Linked DNA regions of Macaca mulatta. The protein of the gene in region 6 binds, or shares a complex with, the protein of the main gene of each other region. Links are inferred from orthologs where the notes say so. Each region holds a gene or a part of one and is shown on either strand. Other genes may lie near its edges. The genes, in order: DHX16, CRIPT, RNF113A, SNRPF, RBM48, SNIP1 and SF3B5.

The links.
Region 1: SNIP1 (region 6) and DHX16 share a complex: the UniProt entries of both Homo sapiens proteins name them as parts of the minor spliceosome. The link is inferred for Macaca mulatta from reciprocal best matches to the Homo sapiens genes SNIP1 and DHX16.
Region 2: SNIP1 (region 6) and CRIPT share a complex: the UniProt entries of both Homo sapiens proteins name them as parts of the minor spliceosome. The link is inferred for Macaca mulatta from reciprocal best matches to the Homo sapiens genes SNIP1 and CRIPT.
Region 3: SNIP1 (region 6) and RNF113A share a complex: the UniProt entries of both Homo sapiens proteins name them as parts of the minor spliceosome. The link is inferred for Macaca mulatta from reciprocal best matches to the Homo sapiens genes SNIP1 and RNF113A.
Region 4: SNIP1 (region 6) and SNRPF share a complex: the UniProt entries of both Homo sapiens proteins name them as parts of the minor spliceosome. The link is inferred for Macaca mulatta from reciprocal best matches to the Homo sapiens genes SNIP1 and SNRPF.
Region 5: SNIP1 (region 6) and RBM48 share a complex: the UniProt entries of both Homo sapiens proteins name them as parts of the minor spliceosome. The link is inferred for Macaca mulatta from reciprocal best matches to the Homo sapiens genes SNIP1 and RBM48.
Region 7: SNIP1 (region 6) and SF3B5 share a complex: the UniProt entries of both Homo sapiens proteins name them as parts of the minor spliceosome. The link is inferred for Macaca mulatta from reciprocal best matches to the Homo sapiens genes SNIP1 and SF3B5.

Annotation. Positions count from the first base shown.
Region 1 is NC_133409.1:152,384,209-152,388,345, reverse strand, and holds part of DHX16 (pre-mRNA-splicing factor ATP-dependent RNA helicase DHX16), read right to left. Parts: intron 3,807-4,137; coding exon 3,696-3,806; intron 3,527-3,695; coding exon 3,411-3,526; intron 950-3,410; coding exon 739-949; intron 542-738; coding exon 443-541; intron 332-442; coding exon 179-331; intron 1-178. UniProt on the Homo sapiens protein: Required for pre-mRNA splicing as a component of the spliceosome. Contributes to pre-mRNA splicing after spliceosome formation and prior to the first transesterification reaction.
Region 2 is NC_133418.1:78,210,735-78,213,969, reverse strand, and holds the end of CRIPT (cysteine-rich PDZ-binding protein), read left to right. Parts: intron 1-1,070; coding exon 1,071-1,174; intron 1,175-1,461; coding exon 1,462-1,526; 3' UTR 1,527-2,341; downstream 2,342-3,235. UniProt on the Homo sapiens protein: As a component of the minor spliceosome, involved in the splicing of U12-type introns in pre-mRNAs. Involved in the cytoskeletal anchoring of DLG4 in excitatory synapses.
Region 3 is NC_133426.1:126,364,396-126,368,152, forward strand, and holds RNF113A (E3 ubiquitin-protein ligase RNF113A), read right to left. Parts: upstream 2,261-3,757; 5' UTR 2,046-2,260; coding exon 1,011-2,045; 3' UTR 904-1,010; downstream 1-903. UniProt on the Homo sapiens protein: Required for pre-mRNA splicing as component of the spliceosome. As a component of the minor spliceosome, involved in the splicing of U12-type introns in pre-mRNAs. E3 ubiquitin-protein ligase that catalyzes the transfer of ubiquitin onto target proteins.
Region 4 is NC_133416.1:103,187,198-103,191,358, reverse strand, and holds the start of SNRPF (small nuclear ribonucleoprotein F), read right to left. Parts: upstream 2,801-4,161; 5' UTR 2,679-2,800; coding exon 2,676-2,678; intron 700-2,675; coding exon 574-699; intron 1-573. UniProt on the Homo sapiens protein: Plays a role in pre-mRNA splicing as a core component of the spliceosomal U1, U2, U4 and U5 small nuclear ribonucleoproteins (snRNPs), the building blocks of the spliceosome.
Region 5 is NC_133408.1:126,862,556-126,867,125, forward strand, and holds the start of RBM48 (RNA-binding protein 48), read right to left. Parts: upstream 3,089-4,570; 5' UTR 3,059-3,088; coding exon 2,948-3,058; intron 2,395-2,947; coding exon 2,204-2,394; intron 1-2,203. Other genes in the region: peroxisomal ATPase PEX1, read left to right, coding at 3,438-3,566. UniProt on the Homo sapiens protein: As a component of the minor spliceosome, involved in the splicing of U12-type introns in pre-mRNAs.
Region 6 is NC_133406.1:203,257,859-203,261,995, reverse strand, and holds part of SNIP1 (smad nuclear-interacting protein 1), read right to left. Parts: intron 4,041-4,137; coding exon 3,442-4,040; intron 1,288-3,441; coding exon 1,023-1,287; 3' UTR 1-1,022. UniProt on the Homo sapiens protein: Required for pre-mRNA splicing as component of the spliceosome. As a component of the minor spliceosome, involved in the splicing of U12-type introns in pre-mRNAs. Down-regulates NF-kappa-B signaling by competing with RELA for CREBBP/EP300 binding.
Region 7 is NC_133409.1:49,347,854-49,351,177, forward strand, and holds SF3B5 (splicing factor 3B subunit 5), read right to left. Parts: upstream 1,584-3,324; 5' UTR 1,483-1,583; coding exon 1,222-1,482; 3' UTR 891-1,221; downstream 1-890. UniProt on the Homo sapiens protein: Component of the 17S U2 SnRNP complex of the spliceosome, a large ribonucleoprotein complex that removes introns from transcribed pre-mRNAs.

The DNA.
Region 1 (4,137 bases), on a different chromosome or scaffold from region 6:
CTCTCTCTTGGTTCACACCATATTTCTCCTCCCTTCAGTCCCAGGGACAAAGGACTGACTGCTCCTCAGCTGTGTGCAGCAGTGCCCAGGGCTCACCTTGCATGGGGCAGGCACACAGCTTTTTCACTACTAGTTGTGGGAAGCACAGGGGTGAAGAGTGTGGGTTTCTCCAACCGACCTTTCGTGCCCCAGGTGGCGTGGGCTGGAAGATGCGGGCCTGCATGTCAGAGGGCAGGTTGGCATAAATGGGCAGCACCAGGAGCTCCCGGATTTTGGAGCCCAGGCGGCGGCAGCGATCCTGGAGCATCTCACAGGCAGCCTCAATCTCCTCCTGGATAGAGGGCGGGGAGAGCAGCAGGGATCCCAGAGTCACAGAAGGCCAACATGCCGGCCCCGTCTTCCCCTGAGATACACCCTCCCCTCTCCCAACCATGTCAGGCACCTGTCCTGTCAGGAACACCAGGATATCCCCAGGGGGCTGGGTCACGTGGATCTGCAACACAGATACAACACAAGCTTCCAAGTAGTCAGCCTCTGGAGCCTGGAGAGCAGAAAGAGATGGGGTCACAGGAGGGCCACCTGCTTAGGCAAACCTTTCCTCTCCTCCCAGTTCAACATATACTTTATCCTAGTTCCCCTTTGGACCTTCCACTCCATCTTTCCCTCCTTGGGATAACTTTCTCCAAAGGCCTCAGCTTTTCTGCCACAGACTTAAGCCCATCCTCCCTGAGGTAGCACCTTGGTGTAGAAGATGTCCACAGGAAACCTGCGTCCGGGGATTCGAAACACAGGGGCGTCATCAAAGAAGGTGGAGAAACGGGCAGTGTCCAGTGTGGCTGAAGCCACCAGGACCTTGAGCTCAGGTCGGAAGCGAGCAACATCCTTGATCAATCCAAAGAGAATGTCTGTGTGTAGGGTCCGTTCGTGAGCCTCATCCACCATCACCACACTGGGGAGGGAATAGGGCAGCAATGAGGGAGGAGCGCTGGGCAATGCAGTATCAGACACCAGGGTTCCCTGGACGAGAGGGGAGTGATGGACACAAAGAGCTCAAGAATGACTGTTGACGGAGGGGGCTCTAAGGAGAACTCAGCCATCCCAGTTATGTAAGACCAACAGAAAGTCAGAGACGGCCAGGGACCCATGATCTGCAACCTATCCCAGCCTCAGCAGACAATAGAAGCCAAGATGTAGAGGCTGCACTGAGGCCAGGACAAGTCAGACATACTCTCTAGTTCAGTCAAGAGTCTGCTTAGACTCAGTAGCTGCTCTTACTAGAAAAAGTTGAACGAGGCTGGGCGCGGTGGCTCAAGCCTGTAATCCCAGCACTTTGGGAGGCTGAGACGGGTGGATCACGAGGTCAGGAGATCGAGACCATCCTGGCTAATACGGTGAAACCCCGTCTCTACTAAAAATACAAAAAACTAGCTGGGCGAGGTGGCGGGCACCTGTAGTCCCAGCTACTCGGGAGGCTGAGGCAGGAGAATGGCGTAAACCCGGGAAGCGGAGCTTGCAGTGAGCTGAGATCCGGCCACTGCACTCCAGCCTGGGCGACAGAGCGAGACTCCGTCTCAAAAAAAAAAAAAAAAAAAAGAAAAAGAAAAAAAAGAAAAAGAAAAAAAAAAAAAAAGAAAAAGTTGAAGGATATGCTTTAGGCTGGGCACGGTGGCTCACACCTGTAATCCCAGCACTTTGGGAGGCCAAGGCAGGCAGATCACGAGGTCAGGAGTTTGAGATCAGCCTGGCCAATATGGCGAAACCCTGTCTCTTCTAAAAATACAAAAAAAAATTAGCCAGGTGTGGTGGCGCACACCTATAGTCCCAGCTACTCAGGAGGCTGAGGCAGGAGAATCGCTTGAACCCGGGAGGCAGAGGTTGCAGTGAGCCAAGATTGAGCCACTGCACTCCAGCCTGGGTGACAGAGCGACACTCTATGTAAAAAAGAGGCCAGGTGCGGTGGTTCACGCCTGTAATCCCAGCACTTCGGGAGGCCGAGAAGGGTGGATCACGAGGTCAGGATATTGAGACCATCCTGGCCAACACGGTGAAACCCCGTCTCTACTTAAAAAAAAAAAAATTAGCCGGGCGTGGTGGCGGGCGCCTGTAGTTCCAGCTGCTTGGGAGGCTGAGGCAGAAGAATGGCATGAACCTGGGAGGTGGAGCTTGCAGTGAGCCGAGATTATACCACTGCACTCCAGTCTGGGTGACACAGCGAGACCTGCCAAGAAGGATTCTTCTTTTGCAGAGAGGAGCAAGTTAAGCCTTTCTACCCCAACTCTCAGAGGACTCTGCATGCTCCCTGGTTTCCTCCTAACTCAGTTATGTGCATGACACCTTCTTTCTCTTTGCTTTATTTTTTGGCTTTTCTGGGTGGCAGCCAAGTCCCAGGAACTCATCCTCATCTTCCCCTACCCACCTCTCTGACCTCAACTCTTTGTCCCTAACCCTAACTGTGATGGTGAAGCCCCCAGTCATTCCACAAAGCAGGCTGGCTCGATGGGCAAAAATATCTGCATCAGGCCCTCTTGCACTGGCTGGCTCCCCATGGGTTCTCAGAGATTTTTTGCAAGGGATATGAAGGATAAAATCCTATCTGTCCAATCACTCCACTGTGATCTTCCAGGGCCAGAAATTCACAGCCTCTGAAGAGTCAAAAGGGCACATATTGTTCAGCTGGCCTGACCCCAACCCCAGCACATTCATGAATCCCTTTTCCCCCTCAACACATGTTCAACCAACCTCTGCTTGGCCATTTCCAGCACTAAGAGCTCATTATTCACAGACCAAGCTACCCAAGACTTGTGTGGAGGGCCAAGATCCAGAGTCCAACCACTGTGACAGGCCCTGCAATCTCCAACACTCTGAGGGTTACTCAGCCGTCGGTATTGAGTTGGAATCTGTCTCCCTGTAACCTCCCCATGGCTCCTAGCTATATCCTGTAGGGTTACATAAACCAAGTCTCATCCTTCTTTCCATGTCACAGCCTTCACATATTTAGAGGGAACCAGGATGCCTCTCCTGCTTCTCCCTCTGAGCTGAGCATTCCAGGTGTTTTCAAATGGTCTCCACATGGCATTTCAAGCCTCCGCAGCAATGCTATGCTATCCTGGTTGTTTCCTAACCCTGGAGATGAATGGGGAAAGAAGAAGAGGCTTTCTCTACAATCTCTTCTATCCTCCAGCCCCATCTCAGTGGTACCTGGAGGTCAGTTCAAGGACCGTTTGAACCATAACGATATAAGAACTGGTGGATTAATCAGAAGACAATGGCTGAATTGGCTGGGTGGCAAGAAATGAGAGAAAAGCCAGAGATTAGAGATCCAGGAGAGAACTGAGTGGGAGGGAGGCGGCAGCACAGGGGGAAGAGAATGTGGGCAGCTCTCTCATGGGAGATGAGGGCCCTGTATGTACCTGTAACTCGCAAGGTCAGGCTCAGAGAGGAACTCCCGGAGAAGCATCCCATCTGTCATGTAGCGGAGGACAGTTCGCTCTGACGTGCAGTCCTCAAAGCGGATGCTGTAGCCAACCTGGTCAAGGGAAATCATTAGCAACCAAGTGTTGGATGGTGTGCCCTGAAAGGAACCTGGGGAAAGGTGAAGTGGGGCAGCACCAAGACTTCTGCCGTAGGGACCTGAGGGCAGTGTAGACTGAGTCACAGACCCCAGTCTCTACCCCCCAGTTCCCTAGAAATCTCACCTCATTCCCAAGCTTCACACCCATCTCCCGGGCCACTCGGGCGGCTACACTCATGGCGGCCACTCTCCGGGGTTGGGTGCAGGCAATCTTCATACCCTTCTTTGTATAACCCTGAATGACAAGGAAGAAAGAAGAGGTTTACCCTTTGCTAAATATGCCCCCTGAGACCAGGTACAATTCAGAGAAAGAAGTTGTAAAAGCCAGACAGGAGAAAAGGAGGAAAAGACAGATGCTGAATACCAGAAAAGAAGGGCAAATAGATAGGATGACAGACCTAGGGCCCTCAAAGGGGGTCCTCACCTAGCTCTGGGTAATTAAGTTCATGGCTCTGCTAGACTTGAGCTGGAAAAGAACAGATTAGCTGAGGCAGAGTCAGCTAAGGTAAAAAGCAGGAAGGCTGGGCACAGTGGCTCATGCCTATAATCCTAGTACTTTGGGAGGC
Region 2 (3,235 bases), on a different chromosome or scaffold from region 6:
CAGCTACTTGGGAGGCCGAGACAGGAGAATCGCTTGCACCTGGGAGGCAGAGGTTGCGGTGAGCCAAGATCACGCCATTGCCCTGTAGCCTGGGCGATAGAGTGAGATTCCATCTCCAAAAAAAAAAAAAAAAAAAAAAAAAGTGATATTCTCTATGGTTTGGAAAAATCTTTGTAAATGGGCTGTTATGCTATACCCAAGAGGAGACACTAGGTCTAGGACAGTGTTTCGTATCTGGTATATGAGGATCATTACAAAAACTCATTTTGTAGTTAGGGAAGCACAGTTAAAGCAGAGTATTATTGCCATTTTAGGGGGAAGTATTTCTTTTTTTCACTCCAGTTACTGTAAGATGGCATTTTTATATAGTAGAAGCCCTTTTATCTAAAAGGATTGAGTCAGTTAATTAAAAATGTCAGCTAATGTAAGCAGTCATTAAAAGATACACATACCTTATTTTAACTTAAAGCACATAACTGTAGATGTATTAATCATATGGTATTGAAACAAAGCCTTTTGAGCATAAATCAACTGATAAGTGCTCTACATGATTGTCGTCACAAAAATCACAATCAGAATATGTTCAGTATCTTTAAAGTGGAGCAAAAATTGATGCTTGAGGTATGGAGTCCTTTCCTAGTGATTTTCCCCCAGTTGTCAACAGTTGTCTTACCCATACCTAATTCAATAGCAATTCCGATTATTCCTGGTCGTCCTAAAGTAGTCACTTAGGTTTTATGGAATCAGTCACTCTTTTTGCACCGACATTTCATCAGTTTCCATAATATTTTTGTCACACAAATAGAATGACAGATACAATTGATACGAACACGTCAAGAATAAATTCTGTACAACTGACTATAAGTATATATCTCACATGGACGGAGCAGAGCAGAGATGTACAGGCATATCAGACAGTAGCCATCTGGAATAGGCTAAACCCATCAATTGTAGAGGTTGATGGAGGGATGAAGAGCATGGATTAATCCTGTGTGTTGCGTAAGTGGGGTTATTTAAGAGTGTGTTTCTAGTGTAATATACAATTTTCTCTCATTAAAAAAAATTTCTAGATTTGATCCATATGGAAAGAATAAGTTCTCCACTTGCAGAATTTGTAAAAGTTCTGTGCACCAACCAGGTTCTCATTACTGCCAGGGCTGTGCCTACAAAAAAGGTAAGTTTCTTTTAATACCTTTTTTCTATTCATAAAACCTACTTCATTTGCTGCTAATTTGGTTAACAGAAACGATGTAGCCTGTCATAAATTCTGTTAACCAAACACTCTTTATCCTAAGGCAAAATGGGACGTAAAACCTGTTTATAATTAAAAGTATATATATATATATATATTTTTTTTTTTCTCTTCTGATGCTGTTAAATTATATTTTAAGCTTCAGGATTGACTTAAACCAAACAGTTGGTATTATGATTTGATTGATCACGTATCTTCTTTTGTTTCAGGCATCTGTGCGATGTGTGGAAAAAAGGTTTTGGATACCAAAAACTACAAGCAAACATCTGTCTAGATGTATTGATGGAATTTCTGACTTTCTAAATGATTTTACTTTCTGCCTTGAATTTTCAAGGCATAGATGTCAACTTACAGAATAACGTGTTTTAAGACAATTACGTTTAAACCAGAGAATTTGATTGTTATTCATTTTGCTCTCATGCTCTAAACAGCAACAGTGTAACTAGTCTTTTGCCGTAAATGGTTTTTTCCTTATGAGCATTTTATTGAACTAAGTGGCAAATTCCATGAAAAATTTCTCAGTTCTGTATGCACTTTAAACATTATTCATGTAATTCTCCCCCACACACACTTTATTTATAGATACTGCAAAAGTGAGAAGGAGGTAATAGATATTTTGCTCTGAATTTGGCATCCAGAGTTAACAGTTCTCCCCTAACTCCCTTACTCGTGTCATAGTTATTAGGATCAGCAGCCTCTTAACTAATTGCAGTTTCATAGGATGTATAAATGTTTCAAGCCATTATTGCTGAATGGTTCTTTAGTTATTAACCTAGACCCAAATCAAAGACCAGTTTTTATTTGTTCTTGCCGCCAAAGTGCCAGTTCCTTTAATATGTGACCAGGAACACAAGGAATATCCATATATCCAAATAAACACACTGAATTTTAGAAAAACTTATTACTTTGAATTCAAATTGTCATGAAAACCAGAACAGTGTTTGTCCATGTTGCATGTAATGAACATAAATCCCTGCTCTTTGAGAAAAGCTCTTTGAAGCAAAAACCAAACTTTTTGTTTTTTTACCTCCTGTCTCCCTCCCTAAAAGAAATAAATAAAGCAAACATCTTGACTCTCCCTTTTTAAAATTTGTTTGTTTGTTTGTTTGTTTGATACAGGATCTCACTCTGTTGACCAGGCTGGAGTGCAGAGGTATCATCAAGCTCTCTGCAGCCTCCATCTGCTGGGCTCAAGCAATCCTTCCACCTTACCCTCCTAAGTAGCTGGGGGCTACAGGTGTGTGCCAGTGAGCTCAGCTAGTTTTTATTTTTAGTAGAGACGAGGACTCGCTATGTTGCCCAAGCTGTTCTCAAACTCCTGATCTCAAGCAATCCTCTGGCCTCAGCCTTCCAAAGTGCTGGGTTACAGGTGTGAGTCACAGCACTTGGCCTCTCTCTCTCTCTCTTTTTTTTTTTTTTATACTACAGGTTTCAAATGAGTACTTTTCTTATGTTGCCTTCAGAGGTTCAGGACTTCTGCTTTTAAAATCTGCAGGCTACCATGGGAGACCAAAAAAGCATTCCCCATTTCCAACTGCAGTATGTATAAATACGTATCACTATAAAATGTGTAGAATAGATAGTGTGATAAGATTTATGAATGGCATTTTTATTGGTCATAAAATTTTGATGAAAAGCATTTAAAGTTTTAACTTTATAAGGCTTTTCAAAATGTGTTTTTTTGAGATACCTTGTTATTCATATCCACAAAGATTATAAGGATAATGCAAAATATAATAATTCATCTGAGAGCAGGAAGTATCCTCTCATGCTTAATCAGTTTGATTAATTGATTATAATTTTAATTTTAATTAAAATTATAACACAGGGAACTCATAACAGGACCTGGTCAGAGAGTGTCCCAGAGCCATTAAAGATTGGATTTGTTGACTTGGAGAAAAGTACGTTTCTCAGGGATCGACTGGAATCTGGACTTGCCTAACTCACATTTCATTTATTTTTTAAATAATTTCCGTTTTTATT
Region 3 (3,757 bases), on a different chromosome or scaffold from region 6:
ATAAAATACTATGTTTTTGCCCTTTGCAGGTTCACAAGTTCAGTCTACAATAGCAATGTCCAATACAGTGGTCAGCCACATTTCAAGTACTCAACAGTCACATGAGGCTAGTGTCTATCACACTTGGATAGCTAAGCACAGATACTTTTATCATCCATGGAAGAGGGGGTTAACTATAGCTGCTTCCAAGACAGCAAGGGAGCCGGGTACGGTGGCTCACGCCTGTGATCCCAGCACTTTGGGAGGCCTAGGTGGGCGGATGCCGAGGTGGGCGGATCACGAGTTCAGGCGATGGAGACCATCCTGGCTAATATGGTGAAACCCCGTCTCTACTAAAAATACAAAAAATTAGCTGGGCGTGGTGGCAAGCGCCTGTAGTCTCAGCTACGCGGGAGGCTGAGGCAGGGGAATCGCTTGAACCCGGGAGGCGGAGGTTGCAGTGAGCTGAGATAGCGCCATTGCACTCCAGCCTGGACAACAGAGCGAGACTCCGTCTCAAAAATAAATAAATAAATAAATAAATAAATAAATAACCCAGACAGCAAGGAACATTTCCCATATGTGAAGCCTGTGGTACTAGCTACCAATTCCCCAAACGCAACCCCTCTCCCCAACACCTTGGCTCCGGTATATTTTGTAGTACAGGCTCCCAAGAGAAAGAATGCATGAAAGTACTTTGTAAACCATTAAGTGATACAGAAATGTGATATGATAAACAGGCTCAGAGTTCTTACTTTCGTCATAGCTTTGGCTACTTCAAGCAAATTATAGCTCTTTTCTCAAACTACTCCCACCCCTATAATTGATGCCAAAATGTTCTGAAAAGAAACACAGGCAAAATGGTTATCCTAGGGCTAAAAATCCTGATTATACCTACCTTGAGGTTTTTAATCCAGGACCCTACTTCACCACCCGCCTTCTCTGTCACTGTCTCTACAAAGGAAGGACACGAATTAAGACTTCCAAAAGAACAAAATATTTATTTTTTAAATTTAAGAATTATCAGACAGCTAAGTAACGGGAATTGGATCCTCATCGGGGTCTTCTGGCAAGTCGGAAGCACCACCACCCTCTCCTGTAGCTCGATGCTTCTCTAGTTTAGCAATCAATTCTTTCGCTGGATTGAAGACGCCATTGGTCTGCTGGTCACAGACATAGCAGCGCGGGGTGGTGCGGAAATGCTGCAGTGCACAGCTCTCGCAGAAATAATGCCTGCACTTGGTGACAACTGGGTTTTGGAAGCTCTGGCGACAGATGAAACACTTGAATGGTATTTCCTCATCATCGCTTCCCACTTCATAGTTTTCATCCTCATAGACACCATAGCGACCCTCATCAAGCTCACGTTCGATCTGCCACCCATGCTTGTAATCTGAACGGTCATGGAGGAATTTGCAGCTGTCTCCGAAGCCGCAGAAGCCAGTCTCTTTGTAGTCCTTACAGATGTCGGGCTGGTAATCCCAGCGCACCGTGGCACGTAGATGCTCGGGCGCTCGGATGGGGCCCTTCCTCACCATCCCGGAAGAGGCATTGCCCATAGACGTATCCTTGGGCTTCATGTATTTCTGATAATTGTTGATTCCCCGATAGATCTTGTCATCCTCCTTGCCCCTCAGCTCCTCCTGGATCTTCTGGCTGCGCTCAAAGATGGCTTGTGCATCGCGCTCTTTCTCTGTGTCCAGCTCATAGACAGCTGTCGCCCCCATATCCTCTGGTCCCACGGGTTTCGCCGAGCGGGTGGATTTATAAACCACGCCGAGACTCTCGGGCTCATTTTCCTCCTCCTCCTCGCTGCTCAAGTCGCCGTAAGCTGCCTTCTGTTTACCACTGTCACGAGTCTTCTGTATCATTGGATTGTGAGTCGCCCGCTTCTTTTCCGGTCGAACCACAGTGCAGCCTTCGTCGCTACTGCTGCCGCTGTCTCCGGGCTCTGGGTCGCAGGCCGGGCGCTTTCTGCGTCCAGCAGCCCCTTTCCGCCCAGGCTTTTTGAAAAGGAAGGTGCACACCTGATCCGCCGTCTTCCCTGGAGAAAACTGCTCTGCCATTTTAGAGTCCCGAGCTCCGAAACGGCCGTCGCTGCCTGGGTTGCACTTGGCCTCTGCGCGTTACTCCACGTCGCGCGCTCCGCCGGGAGTCGAAGCAAAAGACACTGACGGAAGAGAACTGCGAGAGCGCGAGCGCCAGCCTCTCTTGAGCCCTGGCAGATCCCGTCGCTTCCTCCGGAGCCGTACGTGGCACCGCCCCGCTCGCGGGCGGCCGCGGGGCTTACTGGGAAGGGAGCCGAAGCCCGGTCACCTTTCAAGGACCCAGAAGTAGGGTTTTGGCCTAGATAACGGGGCAGAGATGTGGTTCGAGATTCTCCCCGGACTCGCCGCCATGGGCGTGTGCTTGTTTATTCCAGGACTGGCTACTGCGTACATCCAGAGGTTCACTAACGGGGGCAAGGTAAGGCGGCTTCCTGGGCCCGGGGGCTGACTCCACTGGCTGATTTCTGAAAAGGATGGTGGGCAGAGAGTCCGTCAGCCTGCGGACCCTCTCTCCGAGGCCGGCCCTCTATTTTCTTCCGGTTGCCTAGAAGCCGAGGCTTGCGAAACGAAGCGCGGTAGAAACCACATCCTGCTCTGGTGAAAAACAGCGTTTCTGGGTGTATCAAAGTGGGCCTTAGGGCAGAGTAGCGACGCGGGGGCCGGAAAGGTAGATTAGAAGAGGTGGCTCAAGCCTGAGAATCCCTCACTGCAACCTCCGCCTTCCGGGTTCAAGAGATTCTCCTGGCTGGGCGCGGTGGCTCACGCCTGTAATCCCAGCACTTTGGGAGACCGAGGCGGGCGGATCACCTGAGGTCGGGAGTTCGATACCAGCCTGACCAACATGGGGAAACCCCATCTCTACTAAAAATACAAAATTAGTGGAGCGTGGTGGCGCATGCCTGTGATCCCAGCTACTCGGGAGGCTGAGGCAGGAGAATCGCTTGAACCCAGGAGGCGGAGGTTGCAGTGAGCCGAGATCGCGACACTGCACTCCAGCCTGGGCAACAAGGGCGAAACTCCGTCTCAAAAAAAAAAAAAAAAAAAAAAAAAGATTTTCCTGCCTCACCCTCCTGAGTAGCCGGGACCACGCCCGGCTATTTATTTATTTATTTTGGTAGAGACGGGGTTTCATCATGTTGGCGAGGCTGGTCCCGAACTTCTGACCTCAGGTGATCCACCCGCCTTGACCTCCCAAAGTGCTGGGATTACAGGCGTGAGCCGCCGCTCCCGGCCACCCTTGACTTTTTTATTCCCCACTTTCTCTTGCAAGCGTTTAGGAATTTACTGCAAGGTCTTGTGTTTTACATCAGGATTCATTTTCCCCTCTTAGCCCTTCACATCATCTCTAGAGTACAGAGTATAAATTTATTTACTTTTTGAATTTGTGATTGTCCACGTGTGATCTACAGCTGTTGTTTCTTAGTGTCCCAAAAGGCAACAACTAGATATTTCTTTTTTTTTTCTTTTTTTTAAAAAGGAAAAGAAATTCATGTTGGTTAAAATAGTGTAAGAAGTCACGGTCACCAACTTAATCCTAAAGTGTAGTGGTCTGATTTTATTTAGGAGATTCTGTTCTTGTACTACTAATTTGCATTTTTATTTGAATGATGATTCCATTTCTCTAGAATGTCCCTTCTAAAAATTGTAATATCCATCAACTGGGTCACTCACTTTTATAAACTGCAACAATAATTGTCTCTTATTTGAAGGAAAAAAGGATTGCTCATTTT
Region 4 (4,161 bases), on a different chromosome or scaffold from region 6:
TTAAAAATGGTTAGAGTGGCAAAATTGTAATGTATATTTTACCACAATAAAAAGAAAATTAATTACAAAAAAAACCCCACCAAAACACATGGCTGAATCATTTACAGAAACTCATTTGACAGACATACAGTCAGTTCAATTTCTTCGGCAGATGTGTCTTTCCCCTGAAGGAATGAATTTCCTCAATAACTTTGGTGTTGTGCCTTTAGCATCATTCATTAAAAGACTCATGAATTTCACTTGAAAACTTTCTTTCAGGGCTAAATGATGAGAAATGTTTTGTTTTCTCCAGCAAAGTAGTGTGTTTCCCTTACAGTATTATTATGAATTAAATGTCTGAGCTCTTCTTACTTTAACTACTAGGAATAAAATCTGTGGCTGAATTCTGGTTTAAGTCCATGTCTTGTACCTAGTATATCATAGTATCCTCCCTGGCTTTGACTTTATTTTTTAATTTTGCCGTACATTTGTCAATTTAATTGTATGTATTCTTATTAGTCAGACTAAACCTTTGAGCAATAAGGTGAAGCAAACTAAATGCAATGTTATGACCTTTACAGCTCTTTAGCTTACCTGCATGTTCATGTAGCCATCTACAGATACCAGATAGCCCTTGTACTCCATTCCCCACTTAAGTTTCACCATCACTGGCTTTCCTGTTAGTCCATTGAGGAAAGGTTTGGGATTGAGGGGTAAACTCTGCACAAAGAACAAAAAAGGATCCAATTAATTATTTTTCCTCCCACCACCAACTCTCTTCTACTAAATACCAATATTTTGTGGTATGCAAATGAAGAAAACTCTTGACTCATTATTTTAGTACACAATTTTCACTTTCATTTATTGGAGAGTACCAGGGAAATTTAAATATCCAGTTAGCCAGTATCACCTTTAACCCATCAAAACAAAATACTCACTATTCACTTAAGATAACACCGACTACATACATCACTTACTGTTCTGAGCTCTAAAGAAACAAAGATAAAGGCACTTAAAAAAAAAAAAAATGCGGGCCAGAAAGGGTGGCTCATATCTGTAATTCCAGCATTCTGGAAGGCCAAGGCAGGGGGATCACTTGAGGCCAGAATTTCAAGACCAGCCCAGGCAACATAGTGAGACCACCTTCTCTACCAAAAATAGTCAGATGTGGTGGTGCACACCTGTAGTCCCGGCTACTAGGGAACAGAGCAAGACCTTGTCATAAATAAATAACAGAGTCCCTGTCAAGAAGTTGGAGATGGGGAGGGGGGCTCCTCACATACAAATAATTATACTGCATATTGCAACATAATAAGAGGAGATATACTAGGCACAAGGGTACCGAAGCAATCCAGGGAAAAAAGGAAAGGTTGCCTGAAATAAGTTAACCTCAGTTTTAAAGAATGAGAATTTATTTCCAGAGCGGGAAAAAATCCTGTTCCAGGCAAGGCTAGCTACTTATGTAAAAGGAGGGAAGAGTGAAGCAACAAGGTGATTTTGGGGACATACAATTCAGCATTGTCAGTCAAAGTCCCAAATATAAGACTACAGAAGGAAGCAGAGGGCAGATGACGCTTGACAGTCTTTAACTGTGGAAGCTAGGGCTAGGTCCTAAATGACTTTGTCACTAGCACTGCCTCTTATAGCAATCACTTAAAGTTTGCTCAGCAAACCATTAACATCTCCAGTGAATTCGGTTTTTGCCTTTTTCTGCTCACTCACCAGTCAAAGAAAGAACAGAACTAAGAAACTTGGCTACTAACCCCCTCTAACATAAACATATTCGGAGTGACTTGATGCGGCGATTACTCCAATAACCTAATGGGTCTCCAGTTTTCATTCTCCAATTTATTATCCACCACAGCAACATGATTTTTTAAAGTGCACATCAAATTGTCATATTTCTGCTTAAAATGATTCAATGGCTTCCAACTCAATCATTTTCAATTGATTTGGAGTACAATCAAAACCTCCCAATACAGCCTAAGAGGTCCTGTCCAACGCCTGCTCCTCCGACACCATCTCGTAACCACTCTTCCTGCAAGTGGCTGTACCTTTTTGTCAATTTCTCCAACTGACCAAGCTTTCTTTCCGGCCGCAGGTCTTATGCGCCTATTCTCTGTGCTCGGTACACTCCTCCTCCTGCTCTTTAAAGGGTCTATTTCATGACACTTAGGCTTCAGGTTAAATTCCACCTCCTAGGGAGGCCATCTCTGACTAAGCCTCTAAATGTCTAACGCGCACCCTCACAGCCTCCTGTCTGCATTCTTCTTAGCACTTATTACTTGCAATTGCATATTTGTTATTTTTTGACTGTCTGTCTTCCCCAACCGAGTTAAACTAGAGCATGGCCGTATCATTACTTTCATGCAATGAAAGTGAATTTTGGAGTGTGGTTAAGTGGGAAGTGCAAATTCTCTTTGAGTTTTACCCCGACCCTGTAGCCACAAATAAGAATATCCCAAGCCCGGATTCAAACAAAGAGGAGAAGGCACGGGCACTCCTAGAAAAAGAAAGGCATCGGGAGGAGCACGCGCCTCAGAAATCCTAAAAGCAGAGTGAAAGAAGCTGGCGACCGGGTGCGCGGCGCCTCACGCGGATGAATGGGAAACGCGCGAAGCAACCACTAGGCCCCGCGAGGTGGTCTCCCTCCTTCTCTTTCTCCCCGCTTCTCCCGCCGTTCTCGTTCTCCTTACCATCGTAACCACGGCCGAATATTGCAGGCTACTCACTGCCGACCAGGCTGCCGCTTGTCCCTCGTGACTACAGCAGGTACCCCAGGTCCCGAGCCGCTGAATTTCAAGAAAAATGGCCGCCAAACAGGAGTGTGACCTTTCACCTCCCACCACGGCCCTTCCTGCCTCTGTGATTGGACGAAAAGAGATGCGCGCTGATTGGAGGAGATGGTTGGACCAGTATCTCCTGGCAACCAGCAGCGGCTTGAGTTTGCGCCTGGCCGGCTGCGCGCGGGTCTTGGGAAACCCGCTCTGAGGAGCAAGGTGAGGCAGCCAAGGACTGGAGGCAGGCCGGTGTTGTAAATGTGCGGTCTGGGAGAGGCTGTGTGACGGATGTGACTTCTCCCCAACTTGGTTAATGGGGATTTTACTTTGTCTTTTTACACCCGTGAGAATGTTCAGGATCCCAGAGTTCCTTCCTCACTCTTCCAACAGGTTCCATGATTTGGGGGCGCCTCTGCCGCAGGCCGTTTCTACCTGAGTATTCTCTCTTCTGCAACACCCATTTCAACCCCTTTTAAAGGAATTCGGGGGTAGCCAGACAAGACTAGGGGCGGTGAAACGCACCGAAGGGAGTCGGATACAGAATTTATTTTAAACGAGGTCAGGTTGTGTCTGGGATACGGTGTCATGTCCCCCCACCCCCCACGACCCCGCCGGCCCCATCTTTCTTTTGCATCGCCAGCAGAGACTGGCACGGCCTTCTTACGTGCATTTGAAATTACCTAAGGGCGTAAGCAATATTTCCGCTGTCACGGATTAAAACTTTCGACGTAACGGTGTTATCTGAATCTCACTGGTTTTTGTCGTAATCCTAGTGAGTTCGGCTCACTCTGATCTGAAATGCTAAATGCAGTTCTTGGAGAACACGCCCTTTGGGAAGTAACGCTTTTTTGCGGCCCTGAAGAGATGGATTTGAGGTTGAGGATGAAATGTTGGTTGTTGAGGCACTGTGGAGCAGTGGGCAAGACTTTGGAGAGGGCCTGCATTCGGAACCTGCGTCTATCAGGCGCAGCCGGTGTTGGGCAGTGTCTTAACCCTCAGGGCCACTGTTTCCACGGCAGGAACGCGGCTTTAAAAACGGAACCATCCTCAGCGTGGTTGCGAGAATTTAACCTAAAACGGGGCTTGGCCTTGTAAAAGCTCAGTGTTTCACATAAGTGTTGAACACTGACAAGACAGTCATTGTCAGTGTAGTTTTTACCAAACAGTTATTAGATTTATTCACCCTAAACTTAAGTGGATTTCTTCCTTAGTTTGTATATTGTTTCATGAACTTTAAGTCTTTGTACAGACTTTGAGTTCCTACTATGTGTCAGGCTCTTTCAACAATTGTGGAAATCTTACCTTACCGTCTGATTCGGGGTGACAGCCCCGTTTTAGAGATGAGGAAGCAGGCCCAGCAGGTAACTGTTACCAGTTGAGGGTAGCTGTCCGAGTTCTTGCC
Region 5 (4,570 bases), on a different chromosome or scaffold from region 6:
TAATGACAAATACTTGCTCAGATTTTACCATATGCCAGGCAATGTTGTAAGTGCTTCACTTGAATTAACACCTAACAACAACCCTGTAATGAAACAGAAGCACTGGGACATTACATAACTTAGCCATGCTCATACTCTGGTTTGAGGAGCAAGGATTCAAATCCAGATGTCTTACTTCAGAGCCTACTAGACTAGGTACTTTGGAAAACAGAAAAGCTCGAGAAAATATTTCTCTAACCATGACAGCTGGCAGATTGGTTAAGAAAGTGAGATTACATATAACAGCAGCCTGAGAAAACCACACATGACCCAGTAAAATCAAGTGCTTTTGTGGTAGATTATGATTTCTACTGATAGCACATGAAAGAAAATATGAATTGTAACAGCCAGAGAAGGATGGGTCTCAGAGCAGATTAGTGAGGAGAACAGAGATCAACATAAAAATAGATAAGGCATTGCATACTTCAGCCTTTTTGGAGCAGAGGGTTTATGTCACATAGAAGGCCGGAAAACACTGAGTCAATTTGCAGAAAGGAGTAACAGTAGAAACCACAATAGCTAATGCTTACTGTATTCTGACCAGGAGGCACTCTGCTAAACCCTTTATATGGATTATCTCATTTCATCCTCATACAACCTCAAGAAGTAGATAGGTCCCTTTACCATATAGATTTTACGGAACAGGAAAAACTTAAACAGGTTAAATAACTTGTCCAAGATCACAAAGCTAGTAAGCAGTGGAAATGGAAAACTTACTCCAAACCCAACATTTTTTTTTCTTTTGAGACATAGTCTCACTCCATCACCCAAGATGGAGTGCAGTGGTCCATAAATGACTCACTGCAACCTCCACCTCCTGGGCTCAACTGATTCTCCCACCTCAGCCTCCCAAGTAGCTGGGACTACAGGAATGCACTACCACGCCCACCTTGATTTTTGTATTTTTAGCAGAGGTGAGGTTTTGCCATGTTGGCCAGTCGGGTCTCGAACTCCTGGGCTCAAGCTGTCTGCCCACCTTGGCCTTCCATAGTGCTGGGATCAAATTCAACTTTTTTTTCTTTTCTTTTCTTTTTTTCTGGGACAGTCTCACTCTTTCCAGGCTGGAGTGCAATGGCATGATCTTGGCTCACTGCAACCTCTACTTTCTGGGTTCAAGTGATCCTTGTGCCTCAGCCTCCCCAGGAGCTGGGATTAAAGGCTTGCACCAACACAGCTAATTTTTGTATTTAGTAGAGTCAGGGTTTCACCATGTTGGCCAGACTGGTCTTGAACTCCTGACCTCAGGTGATCCGCCTACCTCCACCTCCCAAACTGCTGGGATTACAGGTGTGAGCCACATGCCTGGCGCCAAACCCAAATTTTTTCTGTTTTTTTTTTTTTTTTTTGAGACAGAGCCTCGCTCTGTCATCCAGGCTGGAGTGCAGTGGTGTGATTTCTGCTCACTGCAATCTCCACCTCCCGGGTTCAAGCGATTCCCATGCCTCAGCCACCTGAGTAGCTGGGACTACGGGTCTGCACCACCACACCCAGCTAATTTTTGTATTTTTAGTAGAGCCGGGGTTTCCATCATGTTGGCCAGGCTGGTCTTGAACCCCTGACCTCAAGTGATCTGCCTGCCTCGGTCTCCCAAAGTACTCTGATTACAGGCGTGAGGCGTGAGTTATTGGCGCCCAGCCCTCAAACCCATTTTTTTTTTCTTTGAGGCGGAGATCCCCTCTTGTTGCCCTGGCTGGAGTGCAATGGCGCAATCTCGGCTCACTGCAACCTCTGCCTCCTGGGTTCAAGCAATTCTCCTGCCTCAGCCTCCTGAGTAGCTGGGATTACAGGTATGCGCCACTAGACCCGGCTAATTTTGTATTTTTAGTAGAGACGGGGTTTCACCATGTTGGCCAGGCTGGTCTCAAACTCCTCACCTCGTGATCCGCCTGCCTCGGCCTCCCAGAGTGCTGTGATTGCAGGCGTAAGCCACCGTGCCTGGCCAAACCCAACTTTTACTCTACCACGCTACAGGACATTAAATTGTTAAGCATGGGATGTGATGGATACAGTGTTTCAGTAAAGTTAACCTGTAAAAAGGCTGTAGGAAGATATGCTAGATTACATTTTGGGGTAATTCAGATATGAATGAGGGAAACTTGGGGCCAAAATGACAGAAATATGAATGGAGGAAATGAAACGAGTCATTGCTTAACTTGCACCTTACCTTGCACTTTGTAAGTTCATAAATTTAATAAGATAAACTTCAGTAAAGTCTTCTGCTGGGTATTCATCTAGCGCATTGTACTGTTCAATTGCACCATATAAAGCGAATCGCTCAACTAATTCCTTCATGACTCCCACAGCAGGAACTCCTTGTATTAATAAGTACTGAGATTCCAAATTGATTGTATATACCTGAAAGAAATGCATAGTTATTAAACGTATTTCGCAAATAAGCCTAGGACGAATCTGCCTCTATTTTTTTTTTTAAACAGAACTTTGAAAACAAGAAATAATCTGTTCAACCCAGTCAGCAAAAAACACAAAATAAAATTTCTGCCATTCCCTCTGCATAAAGAGTAACAGTCCATGTGAGAGGCTACCTAAGGCATATAACAGACTACCTTCAGTCGACATTTTTTTCCAGAAATTGAGTCGGCAGAAGTCACTGGGAACAATCACTCAACGAATATTCACTGAGCGCTTACCTGTGCCAAGTAGTACTGTAAACACTGAAGATCCAATGACTAAAACCAAGCCCTATTCTCGTGGAGTTGATGTTCTAATAGTTGACCAAAAGGGTCGTGAGAATCTTTGGTACCTGGCCCAGGGTTCTTCACGCCAGCTCTAATGAGCGACAGATCTGACGGAAGCCTTGTCGTGCCTTTATTTCCGTAGGTTAGCCATATGGCGCTAGCGCTCACAAAAAGCTACCGAGGAGAGCGAATGAAACCAAAAATCACTTTACCTTGACAGCACGAGGCCGTCGTCCCTCCCGATATTTGGCCCGCGTGTCGCACACCGCCCTCTGGACGTGGTGGTCAAATAAACTCCCTAACTCCCCACCGCTGGACGCCATCTTGCCTACTTTGATCCTCGCAGGGAGGACAACATCCGCCCTGCTGACCTCCCTTTTATCCAATAAGAGAGCGGGATGAGTTAAGGAGTGTCAGGATTGGCTGAAGAATCGACAGCGTCGGCCATCGTTTCCTGCGTGCGAGGATTTGATGAACGAGGTGCCGCCCCCGAGCGGCTTGGCGGAGAGGCGCGGTGGGTGACAGAAGCTTTCTTGTCCCACCCCACTACAGGCTTACGGCGAGACGCGCAGCGGGGAGAGGGGGCGGGGCCTCAGGGGGCGGGGCCGATCGATCTCCTCCGGTTCCGACGTCCTCGGCCTGCCAGGTCCCGTGTCCTTTGCGGCGCTAGGGTGGGCAAACCCAGAGCGACGCTTCGGGACGATGTGGGGCAGCGATCGCCTGGCGGGTGCTGGGGGAGGCGGGGCGGCAGTGACTGTGGCCTTCACCAACGCTCGCGACTGCTTCCTCCACCTGCCGCGGGGTCTCGTGGCCCAGCTGCACCTGCTGCAGGTAACGTGCTGGCCCCGGGCCACCTGATCTTCAGCCTGGGGTCGGACAAGGCCGAAGCCTCTCAGGGACGCGGCGGGACACCGGCTGCCACCCGGGCGCCCCCGAAGCGTACAGAGATTAGGGTCCCTCGACGGCAGGGCCCTTCTGGTTAGTCTCTGCATCCCGCAAGTCCAGTGCAGCCCTGGGCTCGTCTTATCCCAGGTCTTTTCACTTGGTGAAACTGGGCCTAGAAATGTCCTAATATTCTACCACTGTTTTTATAAATATTCCTCATTCCAGGCTGGAAAAGTTCCTGATAAGTGGTTTGTTTTTGTTATTTTAAAAGGTGCTTTTCTTGCCAGTCATTTCCAGTTACCTGCGCTGCTGCCGTCCGGGCCGCGAGAGGGAGGCGCAGAGTTGTTGGTGGAGCCCCTGTCGGTCCCCGGGGACTGAGCACCGCGTCCCATGAGCGGGAAAGCTTAATACAGTAATGGTTCTGCCCTGCGTCCCAGACCCTCGGAACACAGCTGTAGTGTGTCAGGAACACATAACGTAGTTAAGATCACTTGAAGCTCTGCGATCAGTCGCCCTTCTGGACGTTGTGGTTGGGATGTTTCGCAGTTCTAACCACCGGTGGAGATACAGCGTCCTTATTTTCGTAATTAAAAATAGAGGCACATGGTCTCACGAGTTTGAGTGTGGTTATGGGGGCAAAAGGACGGCGTATTTGAAATCTTCATAAATCCTGGATGCATGGTACCCACCAGTGGCTAATCTATGTAATGAATAAAGAGTTTGCAATAATTTCAAGCATCCCTTCTTTCCACTTGAGTTACTTCTCCATACCTAGGGGAAGATTTTTTTGGTCCATTGAAAACATGAGTTCAGCAGAATCCTCCTATCATCGTCGTTATTATTTTTTACTACTAAGTAGACAATCTTGGTTTTTGATGGGCTTTATGGTTAGAGACAAATCAGTCACTGTCACCAAGTTCCAGGTAGAAGTTGGTTCAGTGCTCTGTCAG
Region 6 (4,137 bases):
CATATTCCTCTGGTGGAAAACTAGGAAACTGGGAAATTCCCCTGCTTTCCAACCTTGGGATGGTAAATACAGCCTCTCTGAACAATTTTTAAAGGATGAAATGTGTAGAAACAATGTAAACAACACAACCTGCTTTAGACATATACACGTTATTAGAATAAAGAACCTGCCACATCAGTGACAGTTTATTTCTCAAAGAAAAAAAAAGGAGATAACATTTGAATAAAAATGCAAAACTGAAGTACAGTTAATATGATCCAAACTGTTGTGTACATGCTCCATGGAGAAATCAGGAATTCTTTCAGAAAGAACAGATCCACGGCCAATTTCAGTCACTTGTGATGCTGAATCAGCACCCACTGGTAGCAACCAGGATCCTTCTGTACAGTCACGGGCTTGAGCAGGTGCCATAAAGCATCTGTTTAAGTTAAACAGTCAATAACGTTTACTGACTGCAGTACATTCCCACCCCCAAAAGACTAAGTGCAAAATCAACTTCTAAGCTCAAGAGCTCAACCAGGTCAAAGCTTTGGTATATACTGGAGGTTGTTTTGGTGATAACCAAAGCCTAGTAAGATTCTCTGCTCAGGGGTTCACCCCAAAAGAAAAACACCTGGTCCACAAAGCTTAATACCTATATAAATAAAGTTAACTGTACAAAGAGAACAAGCCATGATTTACCCTTAACCAAGGGTTTATAGTTTCCTAGGCAGCAGTTCTGAAAGCACCAACTAAAACCACAACGCTTCTACTAAAACACGGTGTGTTGTAATTGGTGAGACTGTTCCGAAAACAAATGCCTGCAGGCATGTGGCCAAGGTGCCACAGAAAAAGTTTAACAAACATTAGTCAGTGTATTCAAATGGTAACACAATCTGGTCAGCAACAGGGGAAAGACTTAAGGCAGTAAGAGGCATTACAGAGAGCATGATAGTGTTGGACCCACCACCATAGTGCTCTCTGAGTCAATCAAAGCCTTCCAACAAGGAAAACGTGTCTCAATAGTTTGGGTTCTTAGTTTGTTAGCTGTCAGATACTTCCTCCTCCTCCTCCTCATCCTCATCATCTTTCCTGTCTATTTCCGAAGTGTCCGACGACTCATGGAGCAAGACATATTCTCTGCTACTGAATCCAAATTTGAGTACATCCTTTTCTTTTAGTTCATAGTATCTCTGTGGCTCAATACGTTTGTTGTTTAAGAAGGTTCCATTGCCTGAGCCAAGGTCAATGATGTAGGGCTTCACTCTTCGGCCAACCGTGCCATCAGCACGGGTATATTCCACAAGCCTAGCAGAGAAAAAGGAGAAACCTATGAGCAAACTTCTGCCTCAGATCATCCATCCTCTCTGAAGCTCTTTGCTAAGACAGCCTAGATGATGTAAATAACCTGACTTGAGCATAATTCAAGTTAAAATTCTAGGGAATCAAAGAAATCAAGGGGAAAGCATGGCCCTGGGAAGGGAAATTGGAAGTTTAAATATATTTAGTAGAAAAGGTGAGAATGGGTTACTGGAGGGTGGGGAGAATCCATGGAAGATCAAAAGGTGGAAATGCAGAATCCAAAGTCTCTTGCTGTGGTTAAGAAAATACATTTTTTTCTGTTGTTTATAATCAATGTTTCTTTAACCTATATTTCAATATATTTCAGTTCCTGTCCAAATGGGAAAAAACAGTGGACCTGGACTTCAGAGTCAAGGGAGCTATATTTGAGCCAGAGTTCTACTATGGCAGGAGTCCCCAGCTCCTGGACCATGGACTGGTACTAGTCCGTGGCCTGTTAGGAACCAGGCCGCACAGCAAGAGGTGAGCAGTGGGCAGACAGGCAAGCAAGCCAAACTTCATCTGTATTTTCAGCTGCTCCCCATCACTCGTATTATTATTGCCTGAGCTCCGCCTCCTGTCAGATCAGCGGTGCCATTAGTCTCATAGGAGCGTGAACCCTATTGTGAACTGTGCACAAGTGGGATCTAGGTTGCGTGCTCCTTAGGAGAATCTAATGCCTGATCTGTCGCTGTCTCCCATCACCCCCAGATGAGACCATCGAGTTGCAGGAAAACAAGCTCAGGGCTTCCACTGATTCTAGATTATGGTGAGTTGTATAATTATTACATTATATATTACAATGAGATAATATTAGAAAATAGGCCGGGCGCGGTGGCTCACGCCTGTAATCCCAGCACTTTGGGAGGCCGAGGCGGGCGGATCACAAGGTCAGGAGATCGAGACCACGGTGAAACCCCGTCTCTACTAAAAATACAAAAAATTAGCCGGGCGCGGTTGTGGGCGCCTGTAGTCCCAGCTACTCGGGAGGCTGAGGCAGGAGAATGGCGTGAACCCGGGAGGCGGAGCTTGCAGTGAGCCGAGATCGCGCCACTGCACTCCAGCCTGGGCGACAGAGCGAGACTCCGTCTCAAAAAAAAAAAAAAAAAAAAAAAAAGAAAATAAAGTGCACAATAAATGTAATGCACTTGAATCCTGAAACCATGTCCCTGGTTCCATGGAAAAACTGTCTTCCATGAAACCGGTCCTTGGTGCCAAAAAGGCTGGGGACCACTGTACTATAGTGATCATTTGTTAGGCAAGTCACTTGGTTTTGCTGGGCTTCAGTTTTCTCATCTGTCAAATGGGGATATAAATACTTGTCCATTCAAAGTCAGGAGACCATGTTAAAACAAAACAAAACAACAACCAACAACAACAACAAAAAATGGGCCAGGCGCAGTGGCTCACACCTATAATCTCAGCAATTTGGAAGGCCGAGGCGGGTGGATCACGAGGTCAGGAGTTCGACACCAGACTGACCAATACAATGAAACCCTGTCTCTACTAAAAATACAAAAATTCCCTGGGTGTGGCAGCGTGCGCCTGTATTCCTAGCTGCTCGGTAGCCTGAGGCAGGCGAATCGCTTGAACGCAGGAGGCAGAGGTTGCAGTGAGCTGAGATCACGCCACTGCACTCCAGCCTGGGCACAGAAGGAGACTCCGTCTCACAAAAACAAAAAACCAAAAACCGGTCCTATCCTTCTCACAGGATTGTTGTGAGAATCATCACAGATGTCCCACGCAAGCTATCAAGAACCAGTTTCAAAATTAGTAGAGCACAGAGGCACATGCCTATGGTCCCAGTTACTCAGGAGGCCAAGGTGGGAGACAATCATTTGAGCCCAAGAGGTTGCTGGAGTGAGCTGTCTTTGCTCCACTGCACTCTAGACTGGGTGACCGAGTGAGACCTTGTCACAAAAAAACAAAAAATAGATTAAAAGTATAATGTTCTTATAAATATGTAAACAATTATTTAAAGGGAAGTTAGATTAACAATACTCTTTAGATATGAGGGGTATGGGATTCTTCTGTATATGTATGAACAAAAATCTTAGTAATCCTAACTAACTGAGCAATTGTTTCTGCTCACATTAGAGTTTCTTCCTCCATGTTACTTACCGATATTGAAAGACCGCATGCTGCTTTGAACAAGATGGGTGATCGATAGGAATGTCTGCAATGCGGCGGTGTCGACCCAGTAGATACGCACTCTGTCGATGTATGTACATGACTGGAAGCACCTCATCATTTTTAAATGGGTAGAGACGCCACCGTTTTTTTGGAATACGTGCTTCTGGGGGCTCACTATATTTAATGACTACACCCCGGAAAGTGTTGGTGTCCTCAAGAAGTGCCCCAGAAAGTTCATAGCTTGGTTTTTCTTTAGCAGGCACCTCTTTTTCTTTGTTGTTGCCACCAGGCCGAGGAACCAACTCCTGAGACTCACTACCGCCACCACCAATGTCATTCCTCTGGCGATGCTCCCGTCGCCTGGCATTATAAAACTCCCGCTCTTCTTCCTGAGCCTGCAGGTTCTGAGTGTCTCGCTCCCGTCCCTGACCCTGCCCACTCCCAGGTCTCTCGTTAGACGTTCTCCTTTGGTGGGAATGGCCCCGGTGTCTGTACCGGTCACTTTTCCTAGCTCTCCTGTGTTCCTGTTCTGATGGTTCCCTGTGCTGCCGATCCTCCCGTCCTCTCCGGGGATGATCCTCACGCTCCTGAAATTCAAACAGATTCTGTAATTTTAACACAGTGCACAATCTAAAGACAGCCCAAATCTTGTTCTTTTTGAATGAGGTATATTCAAAAGGTCTT
Region 7 (3,324 bases), on a different chromosome or scaffold from region 6:
AACTAAAATTAAAAAACCCACAACCTTCCAATGGCTCCTCAGAGGTTCATATATTGTCCTACAAGGCTCTACTCGTTTCCCCCTCCATTACCTGTCCCTCTACTTTTCCCCTGGCTCACCCCCTCCAGCCATGCTTGCCTCTTTGCAGGTCCTCCAATAAACCATACATACTCCCAGTGTTAGTACCATTGCACTGGCAGTTCCCTCTTCATGGAAAGCAATTTCTCCAGTTTTCCGCATGGCTATTTCCCTCATTTCCCTAAAGTCTTTGCTCAAATGTCACCATCTCAGTAACTTGTGTATCATATTTAAGATTATGGCCCTACCAACTACTCCCACCCACACCACGTACATTGTTCTCCCCTCCCCGCAGCATCTTCTAACATTTACTTATTACGTCTACAGTGTTTGACCTCCTTTCTCCACCACCAGCATAATGTAAGCCTCAAGAACATGGGAAAATGCCTGTCACATAGAGCTCAACAAATATTTGTTGAATATAGAAAGGATGAACTCACTTGCCAGCTTGTCATTTCTGGAGACATGGCCACAAATTCCCAAGAAAAAGAAAGGATGCATTTTAAAGAGGCTAAGGAGGACAATGACAGCAAAGACTGCAAAGACTTTTAAAACGGGAGAAAAAGAAAATGGGATACAATAACTACAAACTTCAATACTGAAGGCATTGTGGGCCTGAAAATAACGCTCTTGGGAGAAGTGGCAGTCGGGGAATTAATTATAATGGTAGACAGGGTGGATTTAAGTACCTGATCATGGACACTGGCATGCACTCCCTCCCCCGACCCATTTCCCGCTCGGGTCTTTCAGGAGCCCTCCACCCTAACACAGGAAGTTCACACCAAGAGACTTAATGATTTCTAAACTTTATGGAAAAAGCCAATGACAATCAATTAGCCAAAAATGAGACGCCAAATCCCATCTCATTCCAGCGCCACGCCCTCTTCTCAAACGCTTGCCGGCTCTAGGCCCTCTTCACCAGCACAGTTCTCAGGAGTTCTGCTGGTCTCCCAGTGCTATTCCAAAGGGTTCACATGAAGGCAGGTCAGGCGGGATTCCCCGGGCAAGCACTTCTGTACGCGGAAGTACCAGACGCAGGAGCCATGGAGAGCCGGTCCTTTGGAGGCAGAAATAGTCGAAGGGATTGGCCAACCTGAGGAACACTGGGAGAGGTGCCCCGCACAGTGGTGGTAAGGCAGAGTCTCAGTTCTCCTCGGGCTTGTCGGCTGGCGGTCCACAAGGCTGAAGCATCTTCTCCATCAAATTGAAGCGGACTCGCGCTTTGCTCTCATTCTCTGCAATGGCGAAGTAGTTGAGAAGGTCGAAGTGGCCCATGTAGGAGCAGTACGAGTCGCGGTGTTGGTTCACCAGCCACTCCCACTTGGTGGTGTCGGCGTGGCCCGTGCCGATGTACTTGGACTGCAGGTGCTCCAGCTGGCTGTGGATGGTGTAGCGGTCCGTCATCTCGCCGCTTTCCCCTTAGTTCCCAGGACAGAGGACGCAGACAACAAACCGCCGCTCTGGCGTTTCACGCGGGAGTGAGGCCACCGTGCGGAAGCTCCAGGCCCGCGCCGTCGCAGAAGAATGGCGTCACGACGACTAAGTAGCGTAAGTCTCGCTCATAGGGCTCAAAGGCGGAAGCGGAAGCACATTCTGTCACGGAATTGGAGTTGCCGAGGCGACGCCACAAGTGTGTCGCCCCTGTAGAGAGCCCCGCCCCGTCAGAGAGCGTTGCATGATGGTCCACTTGGTGGCTATGGGAAGCCCTTTTCCAACAGGGAGCCTTGCATGCTGGGACTTGTGGTCTTGGGAGTTCGTGCTCGTAGTCTTCTGGAACTCCTGGTCTCGTTTTGTTGTTTGAGACAGAGACTCGCACTGTTGCCGGGACTGCAGTGTAATGGCGCGATCTCGATTCACTGCAACTTAACGCCTCCTGGGTTCACGCGATTCTCCTGCCTCAGCCTCTCCAGTAGCTGGGATTACAGGCGCACACCACCACGCCAGGCCAATTTTTTTTTTTTTTTTTTTTTTTGTATTTTTAGTAGAGATGGGGTTTCACTGTCTTTGCCTGGCTGATCTCGAACTCCTGATTTCGTGATCCTCCCTCCTCGGTCTTCCAAAATTCTGGGATTACAGGCGTGAGCCACTGCGCCAGGCCCCTGGTCGCGTTTTAAAAGTGATCTGGGGACCTAGTGGAGGGTGATGTCTGGGAGGTGGGGAGCATCCGTGGGTGGCTTGGGGCTGATGGGAAATGGGAAACCCAAGTAGGACTGGACTACAAGCAGCCCCGAAAATAAACTCTCCGTGTTTTCCAAAGCTATCATGGTAGCACAGCCATCCCTTCACAACCAGGGATGGATTACCCAGAAGTCGGCAGGCACAAGTTCTGGTCCCAGCTATGTCTTTTAGGAGTCTGTGGCATAAAAGAGTTATTTCAGCTCTAACCAGGGTGCTTGGTGAGCAAGTACAGCACCAATTCCCACACATTCCGGCTTCCACCTCAAGCTCCTCCTTCCCCTCTAGCCACTTATTTTGATATCCTTCCTCCAAGGCCTCACTGCACCCTACTTGGCCCTTCCATTCAGTGGGTTTTGTGGATTCAACCGACCCGATTGAAAATATTTGGGGAAAAAGTCAGTCTGTACTGAAGTGTAGACTTTTTAAGGTTATTATTCCCTAAACAATACAGTATAACAACTATTTACATAGCATTTACATTGTATTAGGTATTGTTAAATAATCTGGAGACAAACTATACAGGAGAATGTGCATATGTGCAAATACAAGCCATTTTATATCAGGGACTTGAGCATCCTCTAGTTTTGGTATCCATGGGAGTCCTGGAACAAATCACTCACGGATACTGAGGGACAACTGTACTTCTCCGTGTTACCTGTTGTGCCCGTCCCCATTTTCTTGTACAAGCTGTTCCCTCTACGTGGAATGTCTGTTCCCTTGGTGAATACATCTCCCAAAAAGGCAGCTCAAATGCATCTCCTTAGAGTTTTCTCTGGCTGCTCCAGACAGATGTAAACTCTCCTTCCTCTTTGTAGGTTATACATCTCTTCCTTGTTATCGCTTTATATCCTACTGTTTGGTTTAATAACTTCCTTACATGGGTAGAAGCTACTTGAAAAAAAAAATCCAAAACAAAAATTTGATAAATGGTTAAATAACTCTATTACAACGGAAGGGAAGGAAAACTTTACTAGGAGAGAGATAACTTGAAAATTATTTTATTCTGCTGTTTAAACTTTGTTGGGTCAGGTTCCAAGATGGCCGAATAGGAACAGCTCCAGGCTACAG